3 linked regions of the Elephas maximus indicus genome follow. The protein of the gene in region 3 interacts with the protein of the main gene of each other region in a pairwise test. Links are inferred from orthologs where the notes say so. Each region holds a gene or a part of one and is shown on either strand. Other genes may lie near its edges.

Region 1 (10,610 bases), on a different chromosome or scaffold from region 3:
ATAATGACATTAATGCTTCCTTTAAAAATGCCCATCTTCAAAAAGATAAGGAGTCATGGGGAAATTACTTTGAATTTTTTATATATTTCAACTTACTTTTTATTCCTCTGTCCCTATAACTCCCTATTTTAAACTTAAAACTAGTAGATTTAGGAAGAACTAAGTTTTAAAGTTTCAACTTTAATGCTCTGATTATCAACTAAACCCCAGGAAGCTGGAAACAATTATTTCTATGCACAAAAACCCTTCTAAGACATAAAGCAGAAACTCAAATGGAAATCAGCTCTTCCTGTATGTCAAAACACTTATGTGTGACTGTTTCTTTATGCGTCTGCTTCTCTGAGCCAGAGTTTGGGGAGAGCTTTCTTGCTCAACAACTTGATTTGCCATTTTGAAAAGTTTCCTTTAGAGGGAAACTTTCTAAGTACAAAAACTTATTCATACTTTCAGCTCTGTGAGATTAACATTCACTTACAGGTTTAGCACATCAATTCCTGACATCAGAAGGTGACTTGGTGGACTGAAAGGAATACTGGAGTAATGATCAGCAGTTATGGGCAATTTTTAGGTCCTCTCTCTCTCTTATTAGCTTTTCAACTTTGGGTTAATTATGTACACTCATCTGAGCTTATTTTTAAAAGAAAATAATAAACCTGCTGAGGTTGTTATTTTTTGCAAATATGCATTGAAAGTTTAAGCCTGGTGATAAGCTTTAGATCAAAGAGAAATCAATTAAGATTCAGCTATCATGGAGCTAATCAACTGAGACCTAAATGATTGTAATACAAAGAAGCAAGTGATATATTCTATAATGATAAATAATATTTTTGAGTGCTTATTATGTGCTATGTACCCTTGTAAGCACTTAACCTGTATTATCGTACATAATCATTCTACAGACCCAAAAAAGTCAGTCTTACTATCCCTGTTGATAAGTGAGACAAGCATGAGAGGTTAAGTAACCTGCCTGGGGTAGTATATAATTGTAATGAAGCCAGATTTGAACTCAGAGCAATCTGAATCTACAGCTTGCCCTCTTAATCACCACACAGCACTCCCTCTTGAGGATGAATTTTAAACTCATTAAAACTATATTCAAGGCCCCAGACAAATAGCCCAAAACACCTTTCAACCCTATTGTCTATGAGCTATCCAGATGAGTCATACTCCAGCTAGATGATTCCAGTACAATATCCCACAAACATATTTTGCAAATTCTATATCACTGGGTAACCTTGGTGGCGTAGTGGTTAAGTGCTACAGCTGCTAACCAAAGGGTCGGCAGTTCAAATCCACCAGGCGCTCCTTGGAAACTCTGTGGAGCAGTTCTACTCTGTCCTATAGGGTCGCTGTGAGTCGGAATTGACTTGACGGCACTGGGTTTGGTTTTTTGGTTATATCACTGGATCTATCTGGAAATCTTGCTTTCTACAACTGACTTGAGCATTCTAACCAGTTGCCATCAAGTCGATTCCCACTCAACGCCTTCTAAAGGATAGTAATCTCTACCTTCACTGAAAAATAATAACATCTGTTGTCTATACCACTTGCCTGTCCCTTGTGGCATTCTATGCTCAAGTAGATGGTTAATTTTTAATAGGGTTCTATCTTAATTCTTCAATCAGATTGTAAGTAACCTTATGGCAAGGACAATGTCTTAAACTTTATTGTTTTTCCCACACTGCAATTATCTATTTATTTGTCTGGCTACCTCATTAACTGACCATATCTTTTTTCATCTTTATATCTTTAAAAACAAAACCCATTGCCACTGAGTCAATTTCGACTCATAGAGACCCCATGGAACAGAGTAGAACTGCCCCATAGGGTTTCCAAAGCTGTAAATTTTTACAGAAGCAAACTGCCACAACTTTCTCTCGTGGAGCAGCTGGAGGGTTCGAACTGCTGACCTTTCAGTTAGCAGTCAAACACACTTTAACCATTACCTTCAATCATGGTATACTTGCTACAAAAATAGGTGTCATAAATATTTGGTGAAAAAAATAATTTTATTTATTTGAGTATCTAGGCAAGTACCTAGTGCATAGCTGTTGCTCAATAAATGCTAGTTATTGTTATTATGTCTCCAAATTTTACTCAAAAATAGAAAATAACATACTTAAAAATCTGCTTGAATAAAAGATTCCAACACTATAAATGACACAAATGTCTAAAAGACAATAGTGTGAAACCCATTTAATCAAGTGCAACCATTGTTAATGTCAATAGTAACAAGTTTGTTTTACTCATCAAACATTATTTCACAGGTCACATTATCAAGTTCTACTCAGAAATAGGAAATCAAAATTATCTACCTAATAGCAACAGATTCTTACAAAATCAGACAAATTCCAAAGACTGATCACATAGCATCATTGTTGGAAGCAATAAAGTTTGATAATATGTAAGGAAAAACCTTTATCCACCTATCTCCAGGCATTCTCATACCATCTACAAAACCCTAGTTGCCTCACACGAAGGTCAGAGCAGCCATGGTCTATGGCCAATCTGTTCTGTAATTACTGCCTTCTTGCTATGTGTTGGCCATCATGATCCATTCTGGGTTTTATGGACAAGGGATTAGGCACAGACAGAACAGTTAGGAAATCATTACATCATTATATTTAATTACAATGACCAGAGATATTTGTAATTATCCAGAATCTTCTCTTTCCTTAACTCATTTAATACAACAGCCATGTGTGATGTTCCGTTTTATGGATAAGGACACTGAAGTTTCAGAGATATTCAATGATGTTCTGAGATCATCGGTGAGTGAGCACCTGGTAGCAGGACTCTGATTGGAATCTTTTGGTCTCAAATTTCATCCATGTTCCACTCTTGGCAGGTAAAGATGGGAAGAGATGCAGGCTTTGGTCCCCACTCTGCCCCAAACTAGTCCTGGGGACCTTCGGCAGGTCATTTAATTTTTGACATTTTCATTTTTTCATCTACAAAATGGAGGGGTTGAGCCCAGTAATCTAAGGGCTGAATAGACAAAGGTTCTATATACAGACCTTTCCAGCTTTAAGAGTTTAGGTCAAATCATTGTTTTCAGTCAAACTCCTAAAGAAATTATCTCTGCAGACTTACGTAGAGTGGAATGAAAATTCAGCATCTGGGGAATCACTATTTTGTCCACAGATTTTAAGGCTTTATTAAAAAAAAAAAAAAGATACTTCGAAACCTTTTTGAAATACTATAGTAGCTCATTTTAAAAAGTTACTTTTATAAGGCTTGTATCTCATTAGTTAATTTTCTGTTGTTAAAGATTTCCTCATTCCGAACTGTTAAGGATTTCGTACAGCTTCATGAATAAAACAGAATTGCAGGAGTCTCAGAGAAAATACAAGTCCGGTCTTAAAGTCCTTAGTAATTAATTGCATGCTCTTGAGTAAAAAAAAAAAAGAAAAAACAGTTGCAGACCTTAGTTTCTAGGTCTGAAAAATAGGTAGATGGCTCCCTGCAAACCTAACAGTAAAGTTTGCCATCAAATGAGAAAATATGTGAAATGTGTTTGAACTCTTTGGAAGGAAGTTGCCGCACGTATTCAGTGGTAATTATTATGAGCTCACAGTGTTCGGATGCCTTTTTTCAATAACTTTCTCAGTTTTGAAATATTATATGGTGCTAGATTTTTTTTTTTTAATACCTATAGTGAGCATACATTTCGTTTGCCAGAAAGAGGGAAGTATATCATGGAAAATCATTTCTATCCTAATGGAGCATTATAGCACATAATATCACTGGGGGGGTTACAATTGTGAATCACTTCTTGTGGGTTTTCAACTAAATAAAGGCAATCTGCCCAAGGGGGAGAAAAAAAATCTACAAACCACAAACCCCATCCAATCAGGTAAAGACAGATCAGCCTTCAGGCAAATCAAACGTCTTCATTTAAAGCTTACCTGGATTTGGCATTCTGCCCAGCTTTTTCAAGTATCTTTACAATATACTTTCACAAACAGTTAAAAGCATGCGTACTGAACAGTATACCTTTTGCAACGTAGTATTAAAAACAAAGAACTCTTTAGTCCAGGGAAGACAACCATTTGGGGCAAAAAGGAAGGTTAGTTTCCGAGTTGAGTTAGCGACATGTAAATACAGGATTAGTGGGTGGGATTGAGGTGTGCTCTGGAGCATAAATAGAGGCTCAGGCTGCAGTGGCACAGTCTGACTTTGGGACCGCATCCTGGCTGCTCGCACAAGGCAGGTGGGTGGGGAAATACAGGTAAGACTCCTCGCAATAGCTTCAGAAGGGCACCTGCTAGAATGAGCTTTGGCCTCTGGCTGTTGTGGAAAGTTGCCAGTAATCAGCAAGCAGAGAAGAGTGAGGTAGCTCTAAGGGCAATGAGGTGGAATGTAGAGAGGGCAAAATGGAATTTCCACCTACTGCTTTCTTGGGCCACTGTGGGGTGGGGAGGTTTGAGCTGACAAGGTGTTACTTTCCCAAGCTGGTTCAAAGTAATGATTTCTCCTTTAGGAAACAAGAGGTTTAAGGTTGGGTGAACTCTAGGAGTTTGCAAGCCTGGGAAAGTGCCAGCTCACCCAGGGATTTCCTTAGTCACCACTCTGCTTCTCTTCTGCTGGCTAAAACCCAGGCCCACAGGCTCCTCAACTGTGAAACGCAGCTCAGATTGCCCACTTGAAATGTATTATTGCTAATTAGAAAACAGTGTTCTTTATCTGGTGTAAAGATATTCTTGTTGCTTCTCCCATCTTGCTTTCCGGAAGCATTTATGAATAAGAACACCAAAACCTCATGTAAGTTCACTCCTTGTTAAATACAAGAAGACCAGGGATAAAGTGACCAGCAAAAATGCTGGTTTTGTAGGGTGTTGTGTGTGTGTCTCCAAATTATCAATATCTTCCACAGTTAGCATCCTGTTTTGAGGGGGTTTATGCAGGAAGTTTGCAGAGCAGGGTCTATTCAGATTAGGAAAACGTGCAGACAGAATCTCAGAAAGTACCCCAGAGCAGGATGTTTGCACAGCAGGATTTATGTTAGGCTTCCTTGAGTTATCCTGCCATAAAACACGTGTATTATATCAGTAGTTCCAACCTGAAAACCGGAGTTATTTTAAGGGTTCTAATAGCCACTTGCCCAGGGAGAACTGTCAGTGGACTAAGTAAGTAAAATGCTTCACAACCAATTTACTACTATTTTTTCAAATGTGTACAGATGCTGTTATGAATAAAATACATAGTCAAATGTTGATAAATACTAATTAATAAATTCAAAGCAGTTATTTGCCATGATGTATTTCTGACTCAATTAATATTTCAAAAGTACAGTTATTCTCACAGAGAATTTTTTATTATTATTATTACATTAAATAGAAATCTGCATAATCAGAAGGCTGGGTATTATTGACCTGTATTACTCTGTCCTGTAGGGTCGCTATGAGTCGGAATCAACTCGAGGGCAGTGGGTTTAGTACGTTTGAACTGTTTCTGCAGAATGTTGCTGTTAGGTGCCATTCAGTCGATTTTAACTCAGGGCAACTCCACGTGACAGAGTAGAGCTGCCTCATAGGGTTTTCTAGGCTGTTACCTTTCTGAGAGCAGATCACCAGGTCTTTTTGCTGCTTGGTAAGTTCAAACACTCAGCGTTTCAGTTAGCAGCCAAGCGCACTTAACCATTGCACCCCCAGGGCTCTGTGTAGAATGCTAGGAAACAAAAGTTTTATTGGCATTTCTGCATCTTTATGGGTATAGTAAATGAAGAAAGTATCTCCCAGCTTTTTGCTTTTGTATTTTTTAAGACAGTTTGTGGCAATATACTATGATTGGAAAATAATTAGTGAGTTTAATACTGGGTACCATCTGGATTTGGTAACTTAGCAAGGGCCTTTTTTTTTTTTTTAATTTGCTAATATTTAGCAAAGATTTCCATTTAGGCTATCAGATCATGAGAAACTTTCCCCCTTACAGACACTAAAAAATGATAGCCTATTGGGCTTCCTTTGCAGAATTTATTTGATTTCATTCAAAACCTACACCAATATTAGAGTTAGGTGCTATAGTTTCATATTTCTGTTTAAGTAATTTCCGTATCCAGCTTTACTAGAATTCTGTCACCAGCCTTACATTTTATGGCCCCTGGATAATCTTACTGACTTGTTAATGCAACTAACTCGCTTTGCTAGCTAGCTCACTCCTTCACTCATCATAGATCTTCTCTTGCCATTCACTTTCCTGTCCACAGGCCTCTGCTCCAGCAGGAGTGTAACTTTTCCTAAGAATTGATTGTGGAGTACTGGAAAGGAAAAAAGAATTTGACAAAGAGACACCATGGGGTTTGTTTTTCTGTGTTATGAGTCACATAGAATGTTTTGTACATTAAGGTGCATGCCACAGCCACCTATCCGTGCAGACCAGGATAGAGAGCCAAAGAATTACATCACTGGAAGGAATTAGCATTGATGTACTCTACTCAACTCAGAGCTAACGTAGAGTTTGCATCCATGTCACACTAAGGACAGAATTTTGTGGTGCAAGTCACCATTTAAGTGACAAAGCTGGCAGGTTCTAAATAAAACAGGCAATCATTTTACTCAATTCTCATTCTTTAATTGCAATGTCCCCATCTTAGCTATGTATGTTTAGGGTTATTGTCTCAGGGTGAGAAGATGGCAACCAGCACTGCAAAACGGCAAGACCCAGAAGCCTTAGTTCTGGGCCCATCTCATAAGTCTTTTTTCTCTTTCTCTGAGGTTCAGATTCTTCATTTATAAAATGAGGCAGTAGGTAGGGGGGAAAGAGGAGGTAACCCTTATGGTGCCTTCAAGAACTATAATTTTTAAACATAGTATTTAAATATAAATTCCCTTTACTACGAGTGTACATTCATATACAGTGAAAGCTGTGAGAGTGGACTGCCTTGTTTTTCCAGGTCTTCCAACTTTTCTGCATTTAATAGGGTGCTATCTTACCACTTTTGTATCACTTGTTTTAGTGGAAAATATTTGAGTGTTCCTTCTCTGACAGGTTGCTGCCTTACACAGGTTCCTGCTCTCACAGGTTTTACTAGAGAGAGTGATCCTTGATGGCGAAGTGTTTAAGAGCTATGGGTGCTAACCAAAAGGTTGGCAGTTCAAATCCACCAGCCACTCTTTGGAAACCCTATGGGGCAGTCCTATAGGGTTGCTATGAGTCAGAATGGACTCGACGGCAACAGGTTTGGCTTTTATATATACATATATATGTATCCTGTTGGTGCAATGGTTAAAAGCTCCACTGCTAACCAAAAACTTTGGCAGTTTGAACCTACCAGCTGCTCCGTGGGAGAAAAGACCTGGCAATCTGCTCCTGTAAAGATTTCAGCCTAGAAAACCGTATCGGCCAGTTCTACTCTGTCTTATAGGATCTCTATAAGTCAGAATCGACTCGACACCAATGGGTTTTATATATACATATATGTTGTTTTTGTGTGCCGTGGAGTTGATTCCAACTCATAGTGACTCTACAGGACAGAGTAGAACTGCCCCATACGGTTTCCAAGGACCAGCTGGTAAATTTGAACTGCCAAACTTTGGGTTAACAGCCAAGCTCTTAACCACTGTGCCATCAGGGCTTCATATCTACCTATCTATCTATTAAATATACATATATTTTCTCCATATCAATCTGTATCTATATAGAGATAACCCCAGAAACCCAGTGCCATTGAGTCGATTCTGACTAGAGATATCTACCTCTATATAAATCTATATCTTTATACGTATATCATATGGTTCTATATCTATATAGAGATGGATAGATAGATAGGCAGGCAGACAGACACACATACTGCATATTCTTAGAAAAATCCTGTGGAAGGTAGCTTTTCACTCCAATCACATGTGCTCAGTCTCAGCAGAGCCTCAGTTCCTGTTGTAACCCACTGTTGTAAGGCAATCTGAAGATATTCAAGATGGCTAATGCATTTTTGCTTTATTAACTTCTCATTTATATTTTTGTTTTCCATATCAGATTTGCCATGAAGAAGATATCAGTGTCAGCATTCTTGCTCCTTGTGGCCCTCTCCTATACTCTGGCCAAAGATACCACAGTCAAACCTGGAGCTAAAAAGGACTCTCAACTCAAACTGCCCCAGACCCTCTCCAGAGGTAGGAATCCGCTTCTTGTTGGTTTCCAGTCACGGCTTTGTTGGAAAAGATGTCCTAACTCTTGGTACTGAGACTTGTGTGATGAATATATTTTGGTATCTATCCTTGTAGATTTATCATGGTTTATATCTATTTCTACTTTCTCCAGAGATTTTTCTTCTTTAGTACTGAGTGTATATCTATCCCAGTTTTTACCATTGTTTTTCAACAGCTTTAGGTCTAAGATTATAATAGCTTTAAATATTCTGGTTCATTTTGTCCTAGGCTGGGGTGATCAACTCTTCTGGATTCAGACATATGAAGAAGCTTTATACAAATCCAAGACAAGGTAAAGACAAGAACTCTGGGCAAAACTCTCAAGAGCACCACCTAGTGATATTTAACTATACATGAAATCCTACTCATCGAAAATTATTCAATCTCTTTGTTTCTTAAAGCAACAAACCCTTGATGATTATTCATCACCTGGATGAATGCCCGCACAGTCAAGGTAATTTCTTCTTCACAATATGATTTTCTTTTATAGGTTTTTAGATTTAGGGGCAGAGTTCAGATCATTCATCTTTGCGTCCTTAACACCTAGCTCAGTTGAATAAAAAGGCATATTTTATGTAGTAAAAATGTGTTTTAAAGTAACTTCGGATATTTCCACATGATTTTTATTAACCATTTGTGCATATTTTGAAAAACAAGTTTTAGGGTTTATCCTTAACTTCTTTGTTTTTATTACATCCCACATCTAATACATCAGCAAACCCTGTTGGGTTTATCTTCAAAATGTATCCTAAATCTAGGACCGGCTAAGTTCCCTACACTTAGAAAAGCTCCACACTTGGTTTAATGGTTTGCTGTCACTACTTTGAAAACTCTTAATAATTTTTGCACAAAGAGCTCGCATTTTCATTTTGCACTAGGCCCTATATATTATATAGCTGGTCTGGCCCACACTCAACTGCTGACTCTTGCTACTACCCTGGTCCAAGCCAACATCACATCTTGCCTAGAATACTTTAATGGCCACCTAAATGGTCTCTCTATAGTCAGATTCTCCATGGATGAGCCTTTAAACACAAATCCAGTCCTATCACTCATGTGCTCAAGTGGCTTCTCATCACAGGTAAAATGAAATCCAAATTTGGGGCCATAGCCTACAATAATAATAATACATAATCTAATCTGGTTCCTGCCTATCCTTCCATTCCTGCTACTCTCCCCTTGCTCTCTCCACACTACCTGGCCTGGCCCTAGTGCTGTTCCTCGAACATTCAAGTTCATGCCCATTTCAGGCCTCCTGCTCTTGCAGTCAGTTCCCTCTGCCTAGAGTGATCTACTCCGTAAATCTTAGAATGGATCTCTCCCTCACTTAATGTCGCCTCCTCAGGGAAGTCTTCCCTGAATTCCTCATAGTTTCTAAGCCCCTCGCTTTATTTTTCTTCAGAGTACATATCCCCAACCTGAAATTGTTATATATTTACTTACTTGTTTATGGTCTGTCTCCCATACGAGCATTTCAGTTCCATGAAGAAAGCACATTGTTGGTCTTTGTTTTACACTCCATCCCCAGTGCATAGAACAGTGCCTACTGCATAGTAGCCATTCAGTAAATATGGACTAAAAAAAAGTAAGCGAATGAATAAATGAATGAATGAATGAGTGAATATAAAAAAAAGCAAAGGTAGTCAATGACATAGATATTATTTCACTGATCATTTGCTAAAAGGGCAAAGTAGAGCACTGTATTAAAATACAGTTCAACTTAGAATGTAACAGAGAACAGTGGTTTTCACCGATAATGATATGGTACTCGATGACTGCTCATTTCATTATAGCTTTAAAGAAAGTGTTTGCTGAAAATAAAGAAATCCAGAAATTGGCAGAGCAGTTTGTCCTCCTCAACCTAGTGGTAAGTTTACTTTTCACCCTCACTGACATTTCTCCATGCCTCATTATCAGAAATGGATGATTCAGTTCATCCAGTCCTGTATGTCTTAGTCATACTACATTAACTGGGATCTATTCCAAACATCCCATCTCATAGATTGGAAAGAGAAAAGATATTTTATTTTATTGATCATTTACGTTATATGTCTATGCTTTTATTTAGTAATTAGTCATTTTAGGTTGCCTGAGAAATATTCCCCGGCAATCAGGATTTTCTCTATTGCTGTAATAATCGAAAGGTTTTACATTTTGCAAATTACTGCACACACACAAACGTCCTCTGCCCCTCCTACAGTCCTGGCTGCTCCAAACCCATTCTTTTCCCTTGTCTCCTCTCTCCAAAGAAGGGGCAGCTCTCTGGCTGTCCACATATAGCCATAACTGATTTTTAAGTTTTCTTTCTTTGCAAGTGTTGTTTCTACTCAGTACAAAAACAGGTTCTACAAACTACAGCTCTACTTAACCCTATGTTTTCTCTTTCCCTCTGTCCCTCCCTCCCTTTCTCTGTTTCTGTCTCTTCCTCTTCACAGGTTGGCAGTTCTTCCTCATCTCCCTTCC
Region 2 (10,610 bases), on a different chromosome or scaffold from region 3:
AGAGGCGGACAGAGGCTGGCTGAATGGGCACAGGGAATACAGAGTGGAGAGAAGGAGTATGCTCTCATTAGGGGGAGAGCAACTAGGAGTACATATAGCAAGGTGTATATAAATTTTTCTGTGGGAGACTGACTTGATTTGTAAACTTTCACTTAAAGCACAATTAAAAAAAAATACTTACGAATAAATCTAACCAGAGATGTAAAGGGCCTATTCAAAGAAAAATACAAAACACTACTGCAAGAAACCAAAAGAGATCTATATAAATGGAAAAACATACCATGCTTATGGATAGGTAGACTCAACATTGCGAAAACGACAATTCTACCCAAAGCAATTTACAAATACAATGCAATCCTGATCTAAAGACCAACGATATACTTCAAAGAGATGGAAAAACTTATCATTAACTTTATATGGAAAGTGAAGAAGCCGCAGATATGTAAAGCACTACTGAAGAAGAAAAAAAAGTGGGAGCAGTCACACTACCTGACCTCAGAGCTTGCTATACAGCTAAGGTAGTCAAAACAGCTTGGTACTGGTACAACAACAGATACATTGACCAATGGAACCGAATTGAGAACCCAGATGTAAATCCATCCACCAATGGTCACCTGATCTTCGACAAGGTCCCAAAGTCCATCAAATGGGGAAAAGACAGTTTTATGTTTTTTTTTTCCTAAACAAATGATGCTGGCAAAACTGGATATCCATCTGCAAAAAAAAATGAAACAGAACCCATACCTCACGCCATATACAAAAACAAATTCTAAATGGGTCAAAGACCTAAATATAAAGCCAAAAACTCTGAAGTTCATAGAAGAAAACATAGGATCAACACTAGAAGCCTTAATACACGGGATTAACAAGATACTAACTACAACCAACCACACAAACTCCAGAAGATAAGCTAGATAACTGGGATCTTCTAAAAATTAAACATTTATGCTCATCAAAAGACTTCACCAAAAGAGTAAAAAGAGAACCTAGAGACTGAGAAAAAAAATTTGACTATTACAAATCAGACAAAGGTCTAATTTCTAAAATCCACAAGAAAATCCAACACCTCTACAAAAATAAGACAAATAATCCAATTAAAAATTAGGAAAAGGAAATGAACAGACACTTCACCAAAGAAGACATTTGAGCAGCCAACAGACACATAAGGAAATGCTCACAATCAGCCATTACAGAAATGCAAATCAAAACCACAACAAGATACTATCTTACCCCAGTATTACAGGCATTAATCAAAATAACAGGAAATAACAAATGTTGGAGAGGCGGTGGGGAGATTGGAACTCTTACGTACTGCTGGTGGGAATGCAAAATGATACAACCATTTTGGAAAACGATATAGCGCTTCCTTAGAAAGCTGGAAACAGAAATACCACATGATCCAACAATCCCACTCCTAGGAATATATCCTAAAGAAATACGAGTTGTCAAACAATATGCACACCCATGTTCATTGGAGCATTGTTCACAATAGCAAAAAGATGGAAACAACCTAGATGACCATCGACAGGTGAATGGAGAATCAAACTGTGGTACATACACACAATGGAGTATTACGCGATGATAGAGAACAACAATGAATCTGTGAAGCATCTCATAACATGGATGAATCTGGAGGACATTATGCTGAATGAAATAAGGCAATCACAAAAAGACAAACATTGTATGAGATCACTACTGTAAAAACCCATGAAAAGGTTTACACACAAAAAGAAATAATCTTTGATGGCTACGAGGGAGAGGAAGGGTAGGGATGGGAAAACACTAAACAGACAATAGATAAGGGGTAACTTTGGTGAAAGGTAAGACAGTACACAATACTGGGAAAGCTAGCACAACTTGTACAAGGCAAGGTCATGGAACCTCCATAGACACATCCAAACTCTCTGAGGGACCAAATTGCTGGGTTGAGTGCTGTGGGGACCATGGTCTCAGGAAAAATCTAGCTCAACTGGCATAACTTAGTTTATAAAGAGAATGTTCTACATTCTACTTTGATGAGTAGCATCTGGGGTCTTAAAAGCCTGTGAATGGCCATCTAGGATACTCCACTGGTTTCACCCCCTCAGGAGCAAGAAAAAATGAAGAAAACTAAAAGATACAAAGGAATGATTCATCTAAAGGACTAACGGACCACACCTACCTTGGCCTCCACCAGACTGAGTCCAGTACAGCTAGATGGTGCCCAGCTACCACCACTGACTGCTCTGACAGGGATCACAACAGAAGGTCCCGGACAGAGCTGCAGAAAAATGTAGAACAAAACTCTAACTCAAAAAGAAAGACCAGACTTGCTGGCCTGACAGAGACTGGAGAAACCCTGAGTGTATGGCCCCCAACACCTTGTCAGCCAAGTAATGAAGTCACTCCTGTGGCTCATCCTTCAGCCAAAGATTGGACAGGCCCATACAACAAAACAGACTAAAGGGGTGCACCAACCCAGGGGCAAGGAATAGAAGACAAGAGGGAACAGGAAAGCTGGTAATAGGGAACCCAAAGTTGAGAAGGGAGAGTGTTGACACGTCATGGGGTTCTTAACCAACGTCATAAAACAACACGTATACTGTTAAATGAGAAACCAGTTTGTTCTGTAAACTTTCATCTAAAGCACAATAAAAAAAAAAAAAGGAAAGAAAAAAACTAAAGTAGAAAGAGAGTGAGACTTATTGTCTTAGAATGTTGGTAGGCAGGTTGAGAAAATTCAGGAATTCCAAATTTTTATTCTGTCTCATTTGTATTTTCTAAGCTTTGCTCCAACCAGAAGTCAAAGATCCTTCTGGATTCAAAATAAAAAGTCATTTACAATAAAGGCTGGGGGAAAGGGGAGACCCTGTATAAGAGAAGTAAACCATACCACTAAGAGTAGGGGTTACGCTTAGAAGCACGAGCTAGCCAGAATTATTAAAACTCTCCCTTTTGGGCTGTGAGTTAACAGGCCTTTCTCTTCCTGTTTTCTGTGAGTCCACATATCACCAACATACTGAGGTCATCTTGCCAGATTTTGTAATTTGAACATGACTAATTTCACTATGACAAATACAGGGCTACCAGTGGTGGTGGCAGAGGGGACGGGAAGATAGTGGTTGGGACAAGACTGAAAACTCTATAGCCCTTTATCTCACCGATAGCTCCAAACCCCCTCCAGTAATGAAATATCAACATTAAGAAGAAAGGAGTAAAGTGGGATCTCTCAGGAGTCCCCATGAGCTGCAATTTCACAGTCTGCTACTGGTTCCCTTTATGTAGCACACCTGTGTATTGAGAATTTAGGTAAAATCTTCTGGGTAGATAAAAGCTACTAACCTAGGAAGTTCTACAGAGGGAATATCTGCCCCTTTGTGCTAATCTGCCTTCAGTGCTATATGCCTGCAGAGGAGAAGAGGGACCCACCCGAAGACTTACAAGTAGCTATTAGGCTGATGACAATATGAAGAAGCTGTTCAGGTGTCGACATCAACAGCTACTGAGGTGTAGCCATCTGGATAATCTACACAAACGTTAGCTTCCAGGCTGCTTGGTACTTTCTGTATTTCTAGACCAGATTTCTCTACCATTCGTCTTGCTCAGGAAATGCAAAACTGTGCAAATCTACTTGTTTTTTATTATGTGGGTTGTTCCATTGGGGGGAACACCTGAGCCAATGCACTTTTCAAAAAAGGAGAAATGCCTTGTAACTTAATTGGCTTTGGCGTCAGATGCTCCTGAGAGTGACCTTGAAGAAATGATTTCATTTTTTCCTGGTTTCTCATCTGAAAAAAAGTGAACATTACCTACTACAGAGGGTTGCTGCAGACCCTAGAATGATTCGCATATATAAAAATGCCTCACTTTAGCCTGAGACACTGAATAAACATTAGTTCCTGTTTGAATAACCTACATGAAAACTATTAGGTATGCCTAAAATTTAAAAAAGTAGAGAGAGAGAGACAGAGAGACTACTGGAACTTGGCAGAAATGTAGATATCCCCAACCCTCACACACAGGATAAGAATTTGGATTCTACCCCAAGTCCAAAATGCATCTATCCCCAAGGATCAAAATAGACTTTACATCAACAATAGTTCGATGTTTGTTAAACAACACCTTCTCCTCTTCATTCAACGGTCTTCTCTTTATAAATTGGAATCAACTCGACAGCAGTGGGTTTTGGTTATTTGACTTTCTTGCATCCTCTATGTGCCCAGCCCTCAAATCACACCCCCAAAACAATTAGGAAAAAAAAAAAAAAAAGGACAATGTCCAATATGTGTTTTTTGTTGTTGTTTACACTTGCAACACGCTAAAGCCCAGGACACTGTAGAATTAATACAGCTTGGAAATTGGGTAAAGGTTAGGGAGTGACTTGGTGTCAGCAAGGATGCTGGAACAAACATTGGCAAAGCCTAAAAAAATAAGTCCCAAGAATGATAGGCTTTACTCCAAAGGTCTGAAAGCGGGACCTCCCCAGTTAAAGTGGCTAATCGTTCCACTGCTGGTTTTAATTGCCTTGTGGTGGGAGGAGGTATCATGTTTGTAGGCCATAGTAATCTGTTCCTTCAGAATTCCTCTGAATAAAAAGCTTAGTGCCAAAATCACTGATTCAACACTAATCCAGAAACAAAAACGAAACCACCTTGGCTTTTCTCCAGCCTCTGCAGATCCCTCATTCTTGTGCTTCGACTCCATTTCTCTTCCTCAAAACACCCTTTCCCCTTCTCCATTTTCTTTCTTCCTTTCTTCCCCCCAAATCGCATCCCTGTAGCTGTGTGACTACCCTATAATCTCCTGTATCTCCCAAGGGGCAAAATGCCCATGTTAAAAATGACAGTTTCAATCACGACTCAGTCCAAAAGTATTTCTGTAAAGTTTACCCTGTGGTTAGCACCAAGCTCTCTGTTGTGCTACTACAAAGAGTGAACCTGGCTTTCCCCCAAACAATCATAGTTCCTCATGTCTCACTCTTGGTTGGCCGAAGAAAGCAGAGAAGTGAAAATAAAATCTCCGAGTACTGCTGTCAATCTGGCTAGAAGTACATCCCACCATACATAGACAGGGCAGCCAAGTCTTCATTCCCTCAGTTTCTCCTCAAAGCAGCTCCACTCACCCAACTCTTCCATTGTCACACACCCAAGATACTCTGGTCCCACAGGTTGTAAGGAACTGCTTTTGCATGTGCTGAAGAAGAGGACCACAAAGGAACTGAATGAGACAGCATGAAGCAGCCTCTATAACCCTTTCTGGTTCCTGTATTTGCTTAGCACTTCCTCTCTTTTGATTTGGTGATTTTTTTTTTTTTTTTTTGGTAGGTCACAGTTTTAAAATGAAATAGGACATAGGCAGGTTGTAAGATTTGAATTCCTGTGGTGGACTGGCAAGGAAGAGTCAAAATAATTTAGCAAAATTTCACTACTTACTACATGCCAGAACTCATCTTTAAGTCATGGAAATGGCAGATTTGTGCTTGTGTATTTTCTCAGTGTGGGTCCCACTGTGACTGTACATCAGGAAACTTGCTTTCTTCTGTGAACGTGGGTGACAATAGAGGCACAGTGATCATAAAATTTCCATCAGAGCTAACCAGCACCCAATTCATTTTGTTGTCTTTTTTTTTTACTTCATTATTCAGAAATTACACTTATCCCTTTCCTGAATAAATTGTAAATCCTTAAAAGGCAGGGTTGATGTTTATTCACATTTGCATTGCCAGGGCCTGGCTTATTTCAGGGGTTCAAAAGTCAAACATCTATAGAGGGCCCGTCATCAGAAAAGATCATATTTGGTAAAGTGGTACTGTTTTTGTTGGCTGCTGTTGAGTCAACACTGACTCATGTGACCCCATGGTAAAAAGGGAAATCCAACATGAGATGGATCAACATGGTGGCTACAGCAATAGGCTCAAACATAGGAACGATTGTGAGGATGGTCCAGGATAAGGCACTGTTTTGTTCTGTTATACATAAGGTCACCATGAATAGCGCCAACTCAACAGCCGCTAACAGCATGAAAAAAGAAAAATGAAACTGGAAGGTTTAAGACAACAGGTGCTAAACTGGTGACATCTCGATTCAGCAAACTTCCTGCCTAGCTGCATTGCCTTAGAGCAGTTTCTTTGCAAAGTGATACTGAGGTTAACTTTCACCTTTTTACCACTGAGATTTTACTCACCTTGAATGAAATAAAAATTTACCAAATGAGTCAGAGAAGGCAGTATGTAAAGAACTACAATTAGGGTCCTGTGAAATAAGTATTATCACCATTTTTACCAGCGGTGAAATAAGTTCAAGGATAGTAACTTGCTTGACAGAATTAGTAGGTAGCTTTGTTAGCTACGTACTATAATCCAGTTTGACTTCAAAGTCCATCATCTTTTCTCTACAACACAATGTTCTCTTTTTAGGTTAATCTAAAGAGATCATTCATTTTCCATTCCATTGTGTCTGTAAGACTTTTTTGTTTTTTTAATTAAAAGATTCCCGTTCTGCATTACTCCCAGTAACCACTGGATGTCAGTGCTGTTCCAAGAGCCTGCTCACTGCAAGCATGGGTATGAAAAAATTTCCATCCACACTCTATCAAACAGTTTTTACAACTGAAAATGACATTAGTTCTATGAAAGTGCAAAACACTCAGTAGAGAATATAAAACATTTGCCTAACCTTAAGTGGTAACTGAGCCAAAATACTGGAAGGAAAACCGCACTTCAGCACTTGGCTGGCAAGTAACTGCACTGCATCTACAGTTTAACTGAATTTTTAACGTGAAATCTAGAATAGGATCCCAGATCCTGTTTCCATTCTCATCCTTCTGGGGCTTTTAACCTCGGATGCTTTATTTTCCAGAGTTAAAGGACTGTTCTTTCAAATCGTTCCTTGAGTATAACGGTCGAAAGAACGAGATGCAAGAGGCCAACTGCATCACTGATTGCAACTTAGAAATGAGCAAATGGAAACTCCCTTTTGGCGCATCAGGACAATTTAGTTACACACGGTATTGGGCAGACAAATAACTTCTCACAAAGCTGCAATTCTGTGTTTCCTGTGCAGTTGAAACATTCATAAACCGCAGGTGTCTTCGGGACAGGAAGCATGAGGTAGACCTTCAGCTTCCCTGGGGAGGTCACCTGAGACACGCTAACAACCGTTTGCCCTTCCCTCCATCTCAGGAACCACAACCCAAAAGGTATGCAGCAGTCGCCAGCTTCTTGATGCCCTAACAACGTCTGGTAGAGAATCAATTCTATAATTCGTTCCACAAACTTTTATTAAGAGCTGACTGAATGCTAGGCATTGCGCTAGGCCCCTCAGGACCTAGCCAAATCAGATTCAGTTCCTGCTTTCCAGAGGTCCACAGGCTAGTAGATCAGAAACAGGATGGCAACACGAATAATGTAGACATGAACCCTAGCCTGCCCCGGGGGAGATGCCAAGGGAAGAAGCATTACGCCAACGCTAAAGAAAAAGCCCAAAACAACCCTCGCTGACCAACAGCTCCCTCGCCACTTGGGCTGGCACTGCGCAGGCGTCACGCCCCACCCCGGAGGCACTGCCAACCTAAAACCCAGTGCCGTCGAGTCCCTAGAAAAGTAAAATCGGACCGCGGAGAGTAAACTACTTTTCCCATGGAGCACCAGTCACCAGCACCAGCACCCTCTCCGTCTCGGTTTCTTTTTTTAGCCGCAGGCCAAAGTAGCTAGGACTTCATATCCCAGGGTACCTTTGGGAAAGTTAACCATACGCATGCGCCAAGAGGCGGGCTCTCATTGACCCCCACGACCCCGCCTCCGTTCTACCACCGCCATTTTGTTGAGACTTTCATCCGGCAGCCGACGGGACTTTTTTTCTTAAAGGAGAAGCGACAGCTGAAAAAAGTCCCCCGTCACTGTGCAAGACCTGGCGACGCTGGGGATAAAAAAGCCAAAGACAGGAAAGTGGGACTCAGGGTGGAGGCAGAAGAACGACCAGACTGTTTCCACGAATTGAGGCTAGAAAGAGCCCTGGTGGCATTAGCGGCTCCTAAGGCAGGTGCGCGCGCAGCCAGTCCAGGGTGCGCGCCAGGCGGGGAAAGAGGTGCGTTTTCTTCCTACTAGCCTCCCTCGCGAGACCTGCCCCTCCCACCACCTCTAGCGCCCGTTGATCTCCGGAGCGGGGGGGGGGGGGGAAGGTCACTTTCGGATTGTCGCGAGACGCAGCCGTTTAACGGTGAGAGTGGGTGCGCGGGGAAGGAAACCTCGCGCGCTCCCTTGAAGCCGTTTCCTGATTGGTCAAAGAAAGGGGTGGGGGAGGAAACCCGGTACGCCGCTGCGTGAGAGGCCGACAGGGGCGGGGTCACAAGGCCGTTCCTCCTCTCCGATTGGTCCGTGGAGCGTCCGTGTCGGGCGCGCGCGCGGCGCCAGCGGCTGCGGGCAGTGAGTGGCAGGGGGCGGGGGGGCTCCCTCGGAGCTGGGAGGAGGGGAGGGGGAACAGGAACGCAGGGTGAGAGTGAGCCCGAAGCTCCGGGAGGCGAAGGGGGCGGGGGGAGCAGCGCCGCAGCCGCCTCCGCCTCCGCCGCCTGGGACGAGGGGGTGGGGACGGACGAGCCCCGATGCCGGGGGAGACGGAAGAGCCGAGACCCCCGGAGCAGCAGGACCAGGAAGGGGGAGAGGCGGCGGTGGCTAAGGCGGCTCCGGAGGAGCCCCAGCAGCGGCCCCCTGAGACGACGGCGGCGGCGGCGCCTGCGGGGACCACTAGCAGCCGCGTGCTGAGGGGAGGCCGCGACCGGGGCCGGGCCGCTGCGGCCGCCGCCGCCGCTGCTGTGTCCCGCCGGAGGAAGGCCGAGTATCCGCGCCGGCGGAGGAGCAGCCCCAGCGCCAGGCCTCCCGACGCCCCAGGGCAGCAGTCCCAGGCCGCGAAGCCCCCGTCTCCAGCTCAGGGCAAGAAGAGTCCGCGACTCCTGTGAGTAACGCAGTGTTTCAGGCGGTGGGAAAGACCCCCCTGTCCGCACGCAACCCTCCCGGCTCCCGTAGAGTCCACTCCACGTGACATCCTGCCTGCTCTGCCCCCTGCCGGCTCCGCACGCCTAATGTCACCCTGCTTTCCCAGTTACCCTTCCGAGCACTCCCCTCCGGCCCCCCATGCCTTCTGCCTTTTGGGGACACTTCCCGACTCTCTGAAATCATCCTTTGTGGAATACACCCCTCCCTGTCCCCAGTGGCCCACTTGTCTGCCGCCGTAGGCTTATTCCGCGCTCTGGCAACTGCACGTCTTTGTCAACCTATCCGTTTTCCTCTTACAGCCACCCTCCTATATTACATCACGTCTTCGTTAGGAAATCCGCAGCACGATCTTAGCCTTCAAAAATGTGTCCCTGTCTTCCCATTAATTAGCCCAAGAGCCACTTACACTAGTATCTTTATGTAGCTCTTTTTCACTCAAATTTTCACATAACTTTCTCCTTTCTGGAAATGGACAACTTACTGGTGGGGGTAAAAACGTGGCTGTGCCAATTTTTAAGTGTGGAGTCTTTTCGTATAACAAAATAGATGGATGTTCTTTAGTTTTTTGTTTGTTTTTTCCCTGAGTAGAATTTGTTTTTGCATGTTTTAATGAAGGAGCTTCGTCCTTAAAATTAGACTAATTTGAAAAGAATTCCTTTATTACACAGAGGTACTAGAGGAACCGTGAACAGAGAACCATGGACATAAAGATTTTAAATTGCTTACTAAAATAAAACTCATGTAAAGAATCCCAAAGCCCACAGGTTTGTAAATTTGGGGAATTACTCACGTTAGCGATTTATATTTAATTCGTTACTGAAAGCATCATTTGTGTCACCATCAGTTGCCATCAAGTGAAAAAAATTATTGAAAGCGGGGAAAATTGAAAGTGAGAGAAAAACAATCAGTTTTTTAAGTGCCCACCCACACTCCCCCATAGGGGTAGTGGCAAGATTTGACCTGTTCCAGAATTAAGAATTAAGTCTTGATTTGTCATGCCTGCCTTAGAAGCCTCTCAGAAAGGGGAATAAAATTCAAAGTTATACTGTGTAACTAGGTGTGCTTTCGAACTTTTGAATGTCATTTAAGTTTACGTCCTTTAGAAAATTGTGTGAACTACAATCTGTGGGCAACAAAAATCTGAATTTACAAATAATTCTGAAGTTAGAACTTTTAATAATTTGAAAAGATACATAAATAGCTTTGTTTGGATTTAAGTTTATGAAATTAAATATGACGTGTGAAGCATTTAGCACAATGCCAAGTAGAGGAGTGAAAGTTACTGTTTTGAGTGGCAGTGGTACAGAGCTACAAGTATTGTGTAGTAGTGGTTTTCATGTAAATTTTGCAAGTTCTGCGAAATTGAATCTTTCATATTTTATATTAGCATACATAAAATCACCGCAGTTGCCATCAAGTTAGTTCTGACTCGTGGTGACCCCATGTGTGTCAGAGTAGAACTGTGCTCCAGAGGGTTTTCAGTGGCTGATTTTTCAGAAGTCGATCATCAGAGCTTTCTTCCCAGACACCTCTGGGTAGACCGAAACCACCAACCCTTTGGTTAGCAGCTGAGCACAATAACCGGTTGCACTACCCAGGGACTGTTACCACACATAGAGAAATTAATGCTTAAAATATTTTA
Region 3 (10,610 bases):
ATATTCTAGAGACTGGAAAGAAATATACTTCAGTACAAATAAATTGGTTTCTGGTCTATACAGTTGTTTCTCGTGAGTTTGGTTATTGTGAGGCCGGCCTCTTTTATCCCTTCCAGCTCTCCCGGGTGGTGATGCTTTCACTGAGGAGGAGCCACAGAGTCTGTGTGGGCGGTCAAGACAAGACGCATGGTTAGTTTTGTCTTACTGCCTGCAATATATGCTAGGCAACTGAGGGAACCAAAGCACGGAGCATGAAGTTGCTTGGTCACCATGAAGTCAGAACAAACAATAATATTTGGGGAGAATGCTTCCAATAGGTAGCCCACTGGATTGTTTTTCTCTACTGAAGGGGCATTTCTATCTTGAGAATGAATCCAACACTGTAAAACCAGAACAGTTTCAGTCTCATCAGTTATATTCTAGCCGTAGCTTCCTGAGATTGCAGCCTGATCCGGGCTGTGGACTTGGAAAAGCCCTCAGGACACGTCCACAGATGGCTAATTTCATTTATTCTGTTTTAAAGTATGAGCTTTGGCTTCAGAAATTGTTCCTTTTCCTTATGTGGTTTCCAGGTTCTGTAGGTTTACCATTCAGACTTGGAGCTGACTACTTGCCAGTGAAAGGGTTCTGTGACCCCTGCAGTTTCCAGGCGTTCTCTGCCATGTCTCTGTTCCTTGTAATCCAGAATATGAAGCAGTTATTTACTGTGTCAAAAAGAGCAATGTCTGAGGAATTTGGAGTTCTTTTCTATGCTACTACTTTTCTAATTTACTGTGTAGAGGAGCCCTGGTGGTTAAAGAGCTAGGCTGCTAACTGAAAGGTTGGTGATTTGAACCCAGCAGCCGGGAGATGTGGCTGTCTGCTTCCATAAAGACTACAGCCTTGCAAACCCTGTGGAGCAGTTCTGCTCCGCCCTGCAAGGTCGCTGTCTTAGTCATCTAGTGCTGCTATAACAGAAATACTACAAGTGGATGGCTTTCACAAAGAGAAGTTTATTTTCTCACAGTAAAGTAGGCTAAAAGTCCAAATTCAGGGCATCAGCTCCAGGGGAAGGCTTTCTCTCTCTGTTGGCCTTCTCATCAATGTTCCCCTGGACTGGGAGCATCTTTGTTCAGGGACCCCGGGTCCAAAGGATGTGCTCTGCTCCCAGCATTGCTGTCTTAGTGGTATGAGGTCCCCATGTCTCTCTGCTTGCTTCTTTCTTTTATATCTCAAGACATCTCAAAACACAATCCAGTCTTGTAGATTGAGTCCTGTCTCACTCACGCAAGTGCCACCTATCCTCCCTCATTAACATCATAGAGGCAGGATTTACAACATACAGGAAAATCACACAATACCAGGAATCATGGCCCAGCCAAACTGATGCACACATTTTTGGGGGACATAATTCAATCCATGACAGTCGCTATAAGTCGGAATCTGCTCGATGGCAGCAGGTTACTGTGTAATGTTGGATAAGCCATGTTACTTTTCTGGATTGGGTCTTCTCATCTGTAATTGAATTAGATTTTTTTTTAAAGCAAGATAGCCTACCCACTTTTCCTTTCAAATGAAATTTTATGTAAAATCACAAAATATTAAACTGATAGAAGCCGAGCTGGCTTATCTCTCCAAGTTGCCTCAGAGGCACCTTTGCTAAGCCCTGCGTACATTTCCAACCTCCTTACCCCCCAAACACCTGCATCTCCGGCCATACTGAACTATTTGGAAACTCTTGCATCACACTCGTTTCCGTCTCTGTGTGCCTGCCTGGAGCCTGGTTTAGCCAGCTGTTTCAGCTCAAGTCGCACCTCCCTGGCCCTCCTGCCCATTTATCATGCCTTCTCTTTCTGTGCCTCTATGAACTGTAGTTTTCTATTTACACATATTTCTTCGCTACCAAACCGAGGGCTTCTAGACCTTACCCCCCTCCCCCCAAGTCATTTGAGTGTACATCAGTAATGGAATGAAGAAATCAATGAATGAGTTATGCTGAGAAAGCTGAGCTAGGTCAAAATCTGGATTGGCATACTACCAATTTTTTTTCAACAGCTTTGTTAAGATATGATTCACATCTCATACAATTCACCCATTTAAATTGAATTCAATTCAGTGTTTTTTAGTATATTCACAGGGTTGTGCAACCATCCCGAGAATCTAATTTTAAAACACTTTTTTCTTCCCTGAAAATGAAACCCTGTAACCCTTAGCAATCACTCCCATTCCCCACCACCCCCACCCTACTCTGCAGCCCTAGGCAACCGCTATTTTCTCTGACCACCAAATTTAACATAGGTGAACTGGTCATTAATCTTCAAAATTTGGTAGGGAATCGACTTGACAGCACTGGGTTTGTTTGTTTTCTAGCACTGCTTAACCAGCTTGTACTGTAGAAACTCAGATTCAGGACCTGAAGCAGCAGCCCTAGGGACTCTCTGATCCAAAATTTATTAGAACTAGTTCAGGAGCCCTGGTAGCACAGTAGTTAAAGCGGTCAGCTGCGATCTAAAAGGTCGGCGGTTCAAACCACCAGCAACTCCACGGAAGAAATATGTGGCAGTCGCTCCCCTAAAGATTTACAGCCTTGGAAACCCTAAGGGACAGTTCTACTCTGCCCTATAGGGTCGCTATGAGTCCGGAATCAGCCCAACGGCACTGGGTTTGGTTTGGTTTGTAGTTCTACGTTTAATAGGATGGTTGGTTTGGTCTTGCTTTTCCCTATTGCTGTTGAAGTTAGTCCCCTCTAGCTATTTATATTTTGGAGTAAACAAGGTAACTGAAAAACTCAGTCTCTGTTAGCAATTGTGGCAAGTGCTTGGTAACGATCTCTTCTGGGAGATTAAACCCATTGCTGTCCGGTGGATTCCTACTCATAGCGGCCCTGGAGGGGAGATTAACCTTAAAAACAACAACAAAAATATACTTTTTGCTGTGGATGCCGGTTCATAGAGATCCCATAGGACAGAGTAAGCTGCCCCATAGGGTTTCGAAGGCTGTAATCTTTACAGGGAAACCCTGGCGCCGTAGGGGTTAAGAGCTACCGCTGCCAACCGAAAGGTCCGCAGTTGTAATCCGCCAGGCGCTCCTTGGAAACCCTGTGGGGCAGTTCTACTCTGTCCCGTAGGGTCGCTCTGAGTCAGAATCGACTCGACAGCAGCGGGTTATCTTCACGGGAGGAAACTGCCAATCTTTCTCTTGGAAAGCGGCTGCTGGGTTCAAACCACCGCCATTTCGGTTGGCAGCGGAGCACTCTAATCGCTGCGCCACAAGGTTTCCGGAGGGGAGATTACCCTGTTGCTGTCGATTCCGACTCATAGCGACCCTATAGGGCAGAGAGCTGCCCCCTACGGTTTCCAGGGAGCGCCTGGTGGACTGACTGCCGACCTTCGGGTAACAGCCGTAGGTCTTAACCAGGCCACCGGGGTTTCCAGGAGGGGAGATGAGCCCCTGGAAAACATCTAGGGTTCGGAATTACGTGAGAATATCATGAAGTAAGGATTAGGTGAGTACTTTCCCTGCTTTTATTTTTAACAAGATTCTTCCACAGGATCATGTCTGGTTGGTGCACTGCGGGGAGACACGCGGGAAACCTCGAGACTCAGAGCTCGCTTCTGGAGCAAAGCCGCGTTTTTCAAATTCGGTCTCGGTCTACCGAGTTGCCAAGCAATGGCGTCGCTCCGCGCCGTCGCGTGCGCAGTGACGTCGCCGGCGCGGTGACGCGGCGCGCCGCGCGGTGCACGCTGGGATATTTAAGTCCTCCGCGGCGCGGAGCCGCGATGTCTCCGGCGGCTGCGGCGGCTGGAGGAGGCGAGCGGCGGCGGCCGGCAGCCGGCGTCAGGGACGGCCGGGGCGGGGGCTGCGGCGGCCCGGCCGGGGCGGCGCTCGTCGGCCTCTCGCTGCTCGGCCTCTCGCTGCTCGGCCTCGTGCTGCTCCTGGTGCCGGCGGCGGCCGCGCTGGCCTGGCTGGCCGTGGGGGCTACCGCGGCCTGGTGGGGACTGAGCCGCGAGCCCCGGGGTGCGCGCGCCTCGGCGCCGGGTCGGAACGCGCGGCGCCAGCGGACGCGGCCGCCCTCGCCGCCGGCCAAGCCGGCAGTGAACGGCAGCCTGCTGGAGCCGCGGGCGCTGCTCGAGGGGCCCGCCGCGGCTGAGCTGCTGCTCATGGGCAGCTACCTGGGCAAGCCCGGCCCTCCGCGGCCTCCGCCCGCTCGGGAGGCCCGGGACCCGCCGCAGGGGCCCGGCCGCCGGCCCGCCGCCCTCCGCCCGGCCGCCCGGCCCTCGCCGCCGGCGCCCTCGGCCGGCCTCGGCCACCGCGCGCAGCCCGGGCCCCCCACGCCTGTGCTCCGAGCCTCGAGGAGGCTGCCCCGGCGGTAGGGCTTCCGGGGCCCTTGTCGGTGTCTGTTGGGGGGCGTTAAGGCGAGGACTTAGGTGTTTGGTCGTTTCGTTGGTTTGCGTTCAGTCGGAAGCGGCTTCCCTGTGATTTTTGCCTTCTTTAAACGCTTGGCGTGTCCGTGGCCTCCTGCCCTCCTCTCCGCTGGTGGAAGGAGATGTGAGGCCAGCGCTATTCCCCGCCCTCCCAGTTCTTAAAACCGCCAGAATTTTCGTGTAGTATAGATTCAGCGGGGAGCCCTGGTGGCTCAGTGGTGAAAGCGCCCACTCTGACTCAAAGGTCCGCGGTGTGACCCACCAGCCGCTTTGCGGGAGGGAGATGTGGCGGTCTCTTTCCGTAAAGATTAAGCCTTGGAAACCCTGGGGGCGGTTCTCTTCTGCCCTGTAGGGTCGCTGTGAGTGGGAATCAACGGCAGCGGGTTTGGGTCGGTTTGGGGGATTACAGATTTAGCAGTATATTTGATAAAGCACTAATATTTCTATTTCGAGTGAAAATTACTTTTTCTTTCAAGCATAGTCTGTAGTGTATTTTGGTCTTTGGACCAGTGAGAAATTATATCAGTTAGCAGAACTCGAAGTGTTCCAGAGAATTCAAATTAAAGAGACATTTTTATTTAGTCCCAATAGCTGAGGTGATACAGGCGAATACAAAAATTTGGTGAAAATGTTAGATTCTTGATAAGTACATTTGTTTGAGAAGGTGAACATTTAGGTGTGGAAACTGGTTAAAAATGTTTGGCTTTGGGTGTATTCATTACTGGAGTTTTAGCGTAAAAGACTGAAAAGATTGAAGAATTCTTGAAGAATTCCTCCCTGTGCACCCTAACACACACTTGTATGCCATTGCATGGGCAGGGGTTCCAGCTTCCCTAGCAAATTGTTGAAGTCCCTTGTTGAGACAGTTGCTAAGCAGCTGCCAATTTCTACCCTTAAATAGAATGGGGGAAAGTTGCCATAGAAATATTGTGTTCTGTGTTAGAAAGAGATTTAAGCTCTCTGAAAGACGTCCAAACCCACATGGTTGTTTGGCCACTTTAACTTTCTGACATTCTTTTATACTTCTTTGCTTCCATGGCGTATCTCCCATTCTTTGCAGGAATTGTGGGACTTTGCCAAATCGGTTTGTAATAACACCTCGGAGAAGTTACCCAATCCAGCAGGCCCAATATTCCTTCCTGGGGGCACTTCCCACGGTGTGCTGGAACGGTTACCACAAGAAGACGGTGCTGTCTGCACGTAATTCCAAGATGGTGTGCAGCCCAGTGACAGTGAGGATTGCTCCTCCTGATAGCAAGTTGGTTCGTTCACCAGTGTGAGTATTGTGGAAAGAACAGATTCCCTTTTGTGTCCACTTTACTCTCTGTTACTCTTGTGTGGTTATTCCTTTGACAACTCTGAAGGAAAAAGAAGAAATAACTGTTTATTTGAATGAGAGAAACCCTAAATTGTAGCCATTGAACCTTTTTTAATTTTTTGACCTTAACGGTGGCTTAAATCACTAAGAGCAATTTCTGTGAATGTATAAATTACACTTTTGCTAGCTTGGGTTTTGATTTCCTATTATTAGCATCTATGCTAAATGTGTAGTAATTAAAATATTTTAATACTAGATTTTTGTTTTTCATTGCAGACCAGAGCAGATAATCAGCTCAACACTGTCCTCACCATCAGGTAATATTCCAGACCCATGTGCAAAGGAGACTGTACTGAGTGCCCTGAAGGAGAGGAAGAAAAGAACAGTGGAGGAGGAAGACCAAATATTCTCAGATGGCCAGGAAAATAAAAGAAGGTAATAGGCCCAGCAGACTACTAAACAGCCTCCCTGTGTACTCCTGGGAATTTGTTGAAATACAGATCATTCCCAAAAAATATACAGAAGCCAACTTTAGTTTATGAACCTTCATATTCCCTTCTCTGGCTTTCATGAAGGAGCCTGGTAACAAAGGCATTAATGCTGTTCATTTCCATGGGTAGATAAATTTTATAGTCTACCTTTTTTATAAGTATTAGAGATAAACCAACAAGTATTAGCCATATCAGCCTCACACTTTTGATACTAGCATGTTTAATTTTATATTTGAGAGAGAATGCTCAAAGTCTTCCACTTACAATCTTGTGTTGTTGATTTATTTGGCCAACTACCTGTTTAAAAGTCATAATTGTGCTAAAGGAAATGCTTGCCAAAGAAGAGTGAAGACTAGAGTGTGGTAGATTTACCAGTAATGAGAGTAGAACCAATTTCATTATTTGCCTTATGTGATACCTTAACGGAAGTACAGTAAACAGTCTGTTTCCCAAATTTAAGAGATGAAGTGGCTAGTCATGATATAGAACTACTTATGGCTTTCCAAGGAATCAGTAAGGACTCCGCACTTTTTTTAATTTAACAAATATTAATTGGGTACCCACTGTGTGCCAGGGCCTGTTCTAGGTACTGTGGATAGAGCAGTGAATAAAACAAAGTCCCTACCCTCAAGGGGCTTTCTTGAGGGAGATAGACAAATTAAAAAACAATGAAATAAACAAGGTGATTGAAGACTATAAGTGTACAGGGGAGGGGTACAAAACAAGGTGTATATAACAGAAGGTAATGAGAAGGGGGTTTCTCTGTATAAGGTGAGATATCAGATGCCACACCTGAAAAATATAACCACCGCCACAATTACCTAGACCAGATTGTTCATACCCGACAGTTTCAGAGTTGATCAGCTTTGATATTGTAGATTACTAAATTAAGTAGGGGAAATCTTAATAAATGGAAATATACTTGTATAATATAGAAGATGAGGTGATGGTGACTGGAAATGTGACTTATGGTCTGTGGCAGGTGAGCAGTTTGAGCTGGTGTCACCCAGCTAAGCAGGAGTAGCAGGGGTTGTGAGGATGAAGAGGAGGCAACAGCTATTCTTACAGTCCACACAGGTTTCTCATCTTCTCCAGGGAGGTAATTTTTCTTGACTCTGGGAAGTTCATAACTGAGGATCCTGTATTATTTTCCCCTAATTGGAATAAGTAGTGATCACGTGCCGCCTTGCATAGGCTGTTCTCACACATGACCGGCGAGGGTTTTCCCGACAGACTTACCACATCAGCCTCTGGAGCACCATGGGAGTGTGGCTTGGTCCTTAAAGGTTTTTGTTGCTTGTTTGTTTTTTTTTTTAGTTTGTGGGTGGCGATATGTTAAATCTGTGATTGTAACACTTCAGTGTGAAGTTAGCAAGTAAAGAACCAGTAACACCTGACTAGTTCAAAAGGTCTTGACGTAATTCATATTTTCCTTATTATCTGGACAATCTTAGATTAAATTGACCTCTCGGAATCCTACGGCTTTGAAGCAAACTTTTTCTTATCTAGCTGGAACACATGCTCCCTAGAGATACTATATATGCTGTAAGGATAAAAAGTTATTTTATCAAGAGTTTTTTTTATTTGCCTCAGGCGCCATGATAGCAGTGGAAGTGGACATTCAGCATTCGAGCCCCTGGTGGCCAATGGAGTCCCCGCTTCATTTGTGCCTAAGTAAGTGAGAGCCCATCTGGATGGGATGGATGTAGACTATTTTGAAAAAGGGTATTACCAGAGCGTTGCCCTGTAGATTTTCCTCTTTGCTTTTGCATTGCATTAGTAGTTCAGGTTCAGATCTCTCACATCAGGTAGGAATATTTTGAGTAATGTAACACAATTAACTGTCTTCTAATTCCACTTAATGTGTTTACATCAATATGGGTGAAATGTGCCAAGACTGATGGCCAAGTATATAAACAAAGATCACAGGTGTTTTGCGATGGATAAAATCCAGCAATATGAAATTTACGGTAAATGTTAAGTTTCTGGGAACTTGATATCAGTATATTAGATTTTATTTGTGTTTTGAGTTTAAAAATACATTTGAGGAGGAACTGAATGGGAGAGAAAGTGGCTGAGAAATATGTGTGAGAAAACTCAGGACAGCTTAGGTGCTGGCTTTGAGTCCCCAGTATCTGGCTACCCAGAAGGCTGATGTGCACCTCCTTCCTGACTCGAAGAACAGAGACCAGAGTGCAGCAGGGAAGTTGTAGTCCTGCTTTACGTCTCCTGTTCGTGTTCAGGCTGTCCATGCACTGTAAGAGGGGATTCATTCTGAGTGAAGCAGATAAGATGTTAAAGGGATTTGGAGCAGCCAAGCAGGTGGTGGTGATGGGTGCGGGGTTTTGGAAGGTACAGAAGTACTAGCCCAAAGGACAAAAACTTCAGGGGAAATGAAGAAATAGGGAGGTGCATAAAGGTCTCCCAAAAACTGAAGGACTGTCACATGAAAGAGGGAAAGCAACTTGTTTGGTTCAGCTCCAAATACAAGCCACAGGTGGAAGTTAGAGGAAGTAAATTTTAATCTAGTATAAGAATAAGCTGGTGCCTGGTTGAAATGGATCACTCTAGGAGATGGTCAGTTGTCTACATTTTAATAGAGGTTGGATGACTAGTTCTTGATAAAGATGTATAGGGAATTTCTGTTTCAGTTGGCAGTTTAGGAAAAATGGTTCAGCTTAACTCTGAAATTCCAATTTTTAAAAACAGCTTTATTGAAGTTTAATTGACATATGGTAAAGTGCACACTTTGATAGGTTTTGACATGTATATACATGTGAAACCAGCACTGTACAGTATAATGAACACATCACATCCATTGCCTCAAAAAGTTTCCTCTTGTCCCTTAGTAATTTCTCTAGTCCCATCCTGTTCTCCCCACTCCTGTCCCCACAGGTTAGTGTACATTTTCTAAAAATGGAATTGTGCATTTAATCTTTAAATATTTGGCTTTTCCTTACTGACTTTGTTGGATGTATTCAGCTAAATTGTTAACAGTAAAACCAGGAATGTGTACATCTTCCTTTCAGTTAAGAAAGGTGCCGTGACCAGATTGGATGAAGCCTCCAAAGAGTGCTGCTTTTAGTAGCACGTTTAACTCTCTTTTTCCCTTTTATTAGACCTGGTTCTCTGAAGAGAGGTTTCCATTCCCAGAGCTCAGATGACCACTTGAACAAGAGGTCCCGCACCTCGTCTGTGAGCTCCGTGACGAACACGTGTGCGGTTGGCATCCCAAGCTCCAGCCGTAATGCCATTACCAGTTCCTATAGTTCTACTCGTGGTTTCTCTCAGGTACAGTAGTTCTTGTGGTGCGGGAGGAGTGGGTTCCCCAGGTTGAACTGGGTAGATGAGAATTAATTCATTAGCAAATGTTTACTCTGCCAGATGTTGGGACAGTCTCTAAGCTAACAGAACCCTTGAATGATAAGTGTAGACCAATAGAATAGATAGAAAGCCTGGAAACAACTAATGCGTATGTGGGAACCTGCTATGAGACAGCTTGTGTTGCAGTTCATGAACAATTCAATAAATGGTATTAATTTTACTAAAAAGGTAGATACGTGAGAAACCTGTTTCCTCTAGCGATTTCCACTTCTTTTCCCATGCCTGTTGGTTCATGTCTTTTGCCCCTTTTTCTGAAGGGCTACTGGTTTTGTCTCATTTTCAAGAGCTTTTCATATATTGTAGAAACATGTCCCAAATAAATAAAAGATTTAAGTGTGAAATAGACACCATGGAGGAAACCGTTAGAGGAAGCAGGCGTCATGCATTGCTGGTGGGGGTGTCAGTTGGTACAGTTTGGGGCATTAGAGATGCAGGGGTCCTGTGATCCAGTAAGTTTACTTTTAGGAATTTATCCTATATAAATACTTAAAGACGCATACAAGGATATTGATCGTAGCATTATTTTCATATAGCAGAATATTAAAAACAGTGTCAGTGTACTTTTCAGGGAACTGGTTGAATAAATTACAGCATATCCGTGAGGTAAAATCCTGTAACTATTAAAAAGAATAAGGTGGTTTAATAGGTCCAAATGTGGGATGACCTCAAAATCATAAAAAAGCAAGGTGTAGAACTGTGTTATGTATTATTCTGTTATTTGTGTTGCTGGTTTCTTTAATCTTTTGATACCCAAAGAATAATTTTGGCAAGATATATTAGAACAGGAAACAATTATTGAAATAGGAGTGAAGCTTTTCACTATATACTCTTTTTAGTTGTTGGAATTTGTAACAAGTACAAGTATTCCTTTTCCTATTTTCAAAAAATTTTTAGGTATAGGTAACTGTTAAGTACAAAGCAAAATTCCCCTGCCCTGGTGCTCCCAGTTTAAAAAAAAAAAAAAAAATCCCATAAAAATAGGTACCTATTATTATCATTTTTTACTGTGTGCAC

The links.
Region 1: the proteins of nuclear envelope pore membrane protein POM 121C-like (region 3) and AGR2 interact in binary tests that used the Homo sapiens proteins (3 or more experiments, as listed by UniProt). The two-hybrid records come from large-scale screens. The link is inferred for Elephas maximus indicus from reciprocal best matches to the Homo sapiens genes POM121 and AGR2.
Region 2: the proteins of nuclear envelope pore membrane protein POM 121C-like (region 3) and LPXN interact in binary tests that used the Homo sapiens proteins (3 or more experiments, as listed by UniProt). The two-hybrid records come from large-scale screens. The link is inferred for Elephas maximus indicus from reciprocal best matches to the Homo sapiens genes POM121 and LPXN.

Annotation. Positions count from the first base shown.
Region 1 is NC_064826.1:77,633,845-77,644,454, reverse strand, and holds the start of AGR2 (anterior gradient protein 2 homolog), read left to right. Parts: upstream 1-4,027; 5' UTR 4,028-4,069; intron 4,070-4,090; exon of another isoform or gene 4,091-4,231; intron 4,232-5,015; exon of another isoform or gene 5,016-5,129; intron 5,130-7,974; 5' UTR 7,975-7,981; coding exon 7,982-8,111; intron 8,112-8,375; coding exon 8,376-8,439; intron 8,440-8,548; coding exon 8,549-8,601; intron 8,602-9,940; coding exon 9,941-10,014; intron 10,015-10,610. UniProt on the Homo sapiens protein: Required for MUC2 post-transcriptional synthesis and secretion. May play a role in the production of mucus by intestinal cells. Proto-oncogene that may play a role in cell migration, cell differentiation and cell growth. Promotes cell adhesion.
Region 2 is NC_064825.1:120,439,938-120,450,547, forward strand, and holds the start of LPXN (leupaxin), read right to left. Parts: upstream 5,093-10,610; 5' UTR 3,473-5,092; coding exon 3,421-3,472; intron 1-3,420. Other genes in the region: E3 ubiquitin-protein ligase ZFP91, read left to right, coding at 8,578-8,927. UniProt on the Homo sapiens protein: Transcriptional coactivator for androgen receptor (AR) and serum response factor (SRF). Contributes to the regulation of cell adhesion, spreading and cell migration and acts as a negative regulator in integrin-mediated cell adhesion events.
Region 3 is NC_064830.1:110,389,374-110,399,983, reverse strand, and holds the start of nuclear envelope pore membrane protein POM 121C-like, read left to right. Parts: upstream 1-3,710; 5' UTR 3,711-3,758; coding exon 3,759-4,348; intron 4,349-5,463; coding exon 5,464-5,679; intron 5,680-5,997; coding exon 5,998-6,156; intron 6,157-7,805; coding exon 7,806-7,886; intron 7,887-9,331; coding exon 9,332-9,503; intron 9,504-10,610. UniProt on the Homo sapiens protein: Essential component of the nuclear pore complex (NPC). The repeat-containing domain may be involved in anchoring components of the pore complex to the pore membrane. When overexpressed in cells induces the formation of cytoplasmic annulate lamellae (AL).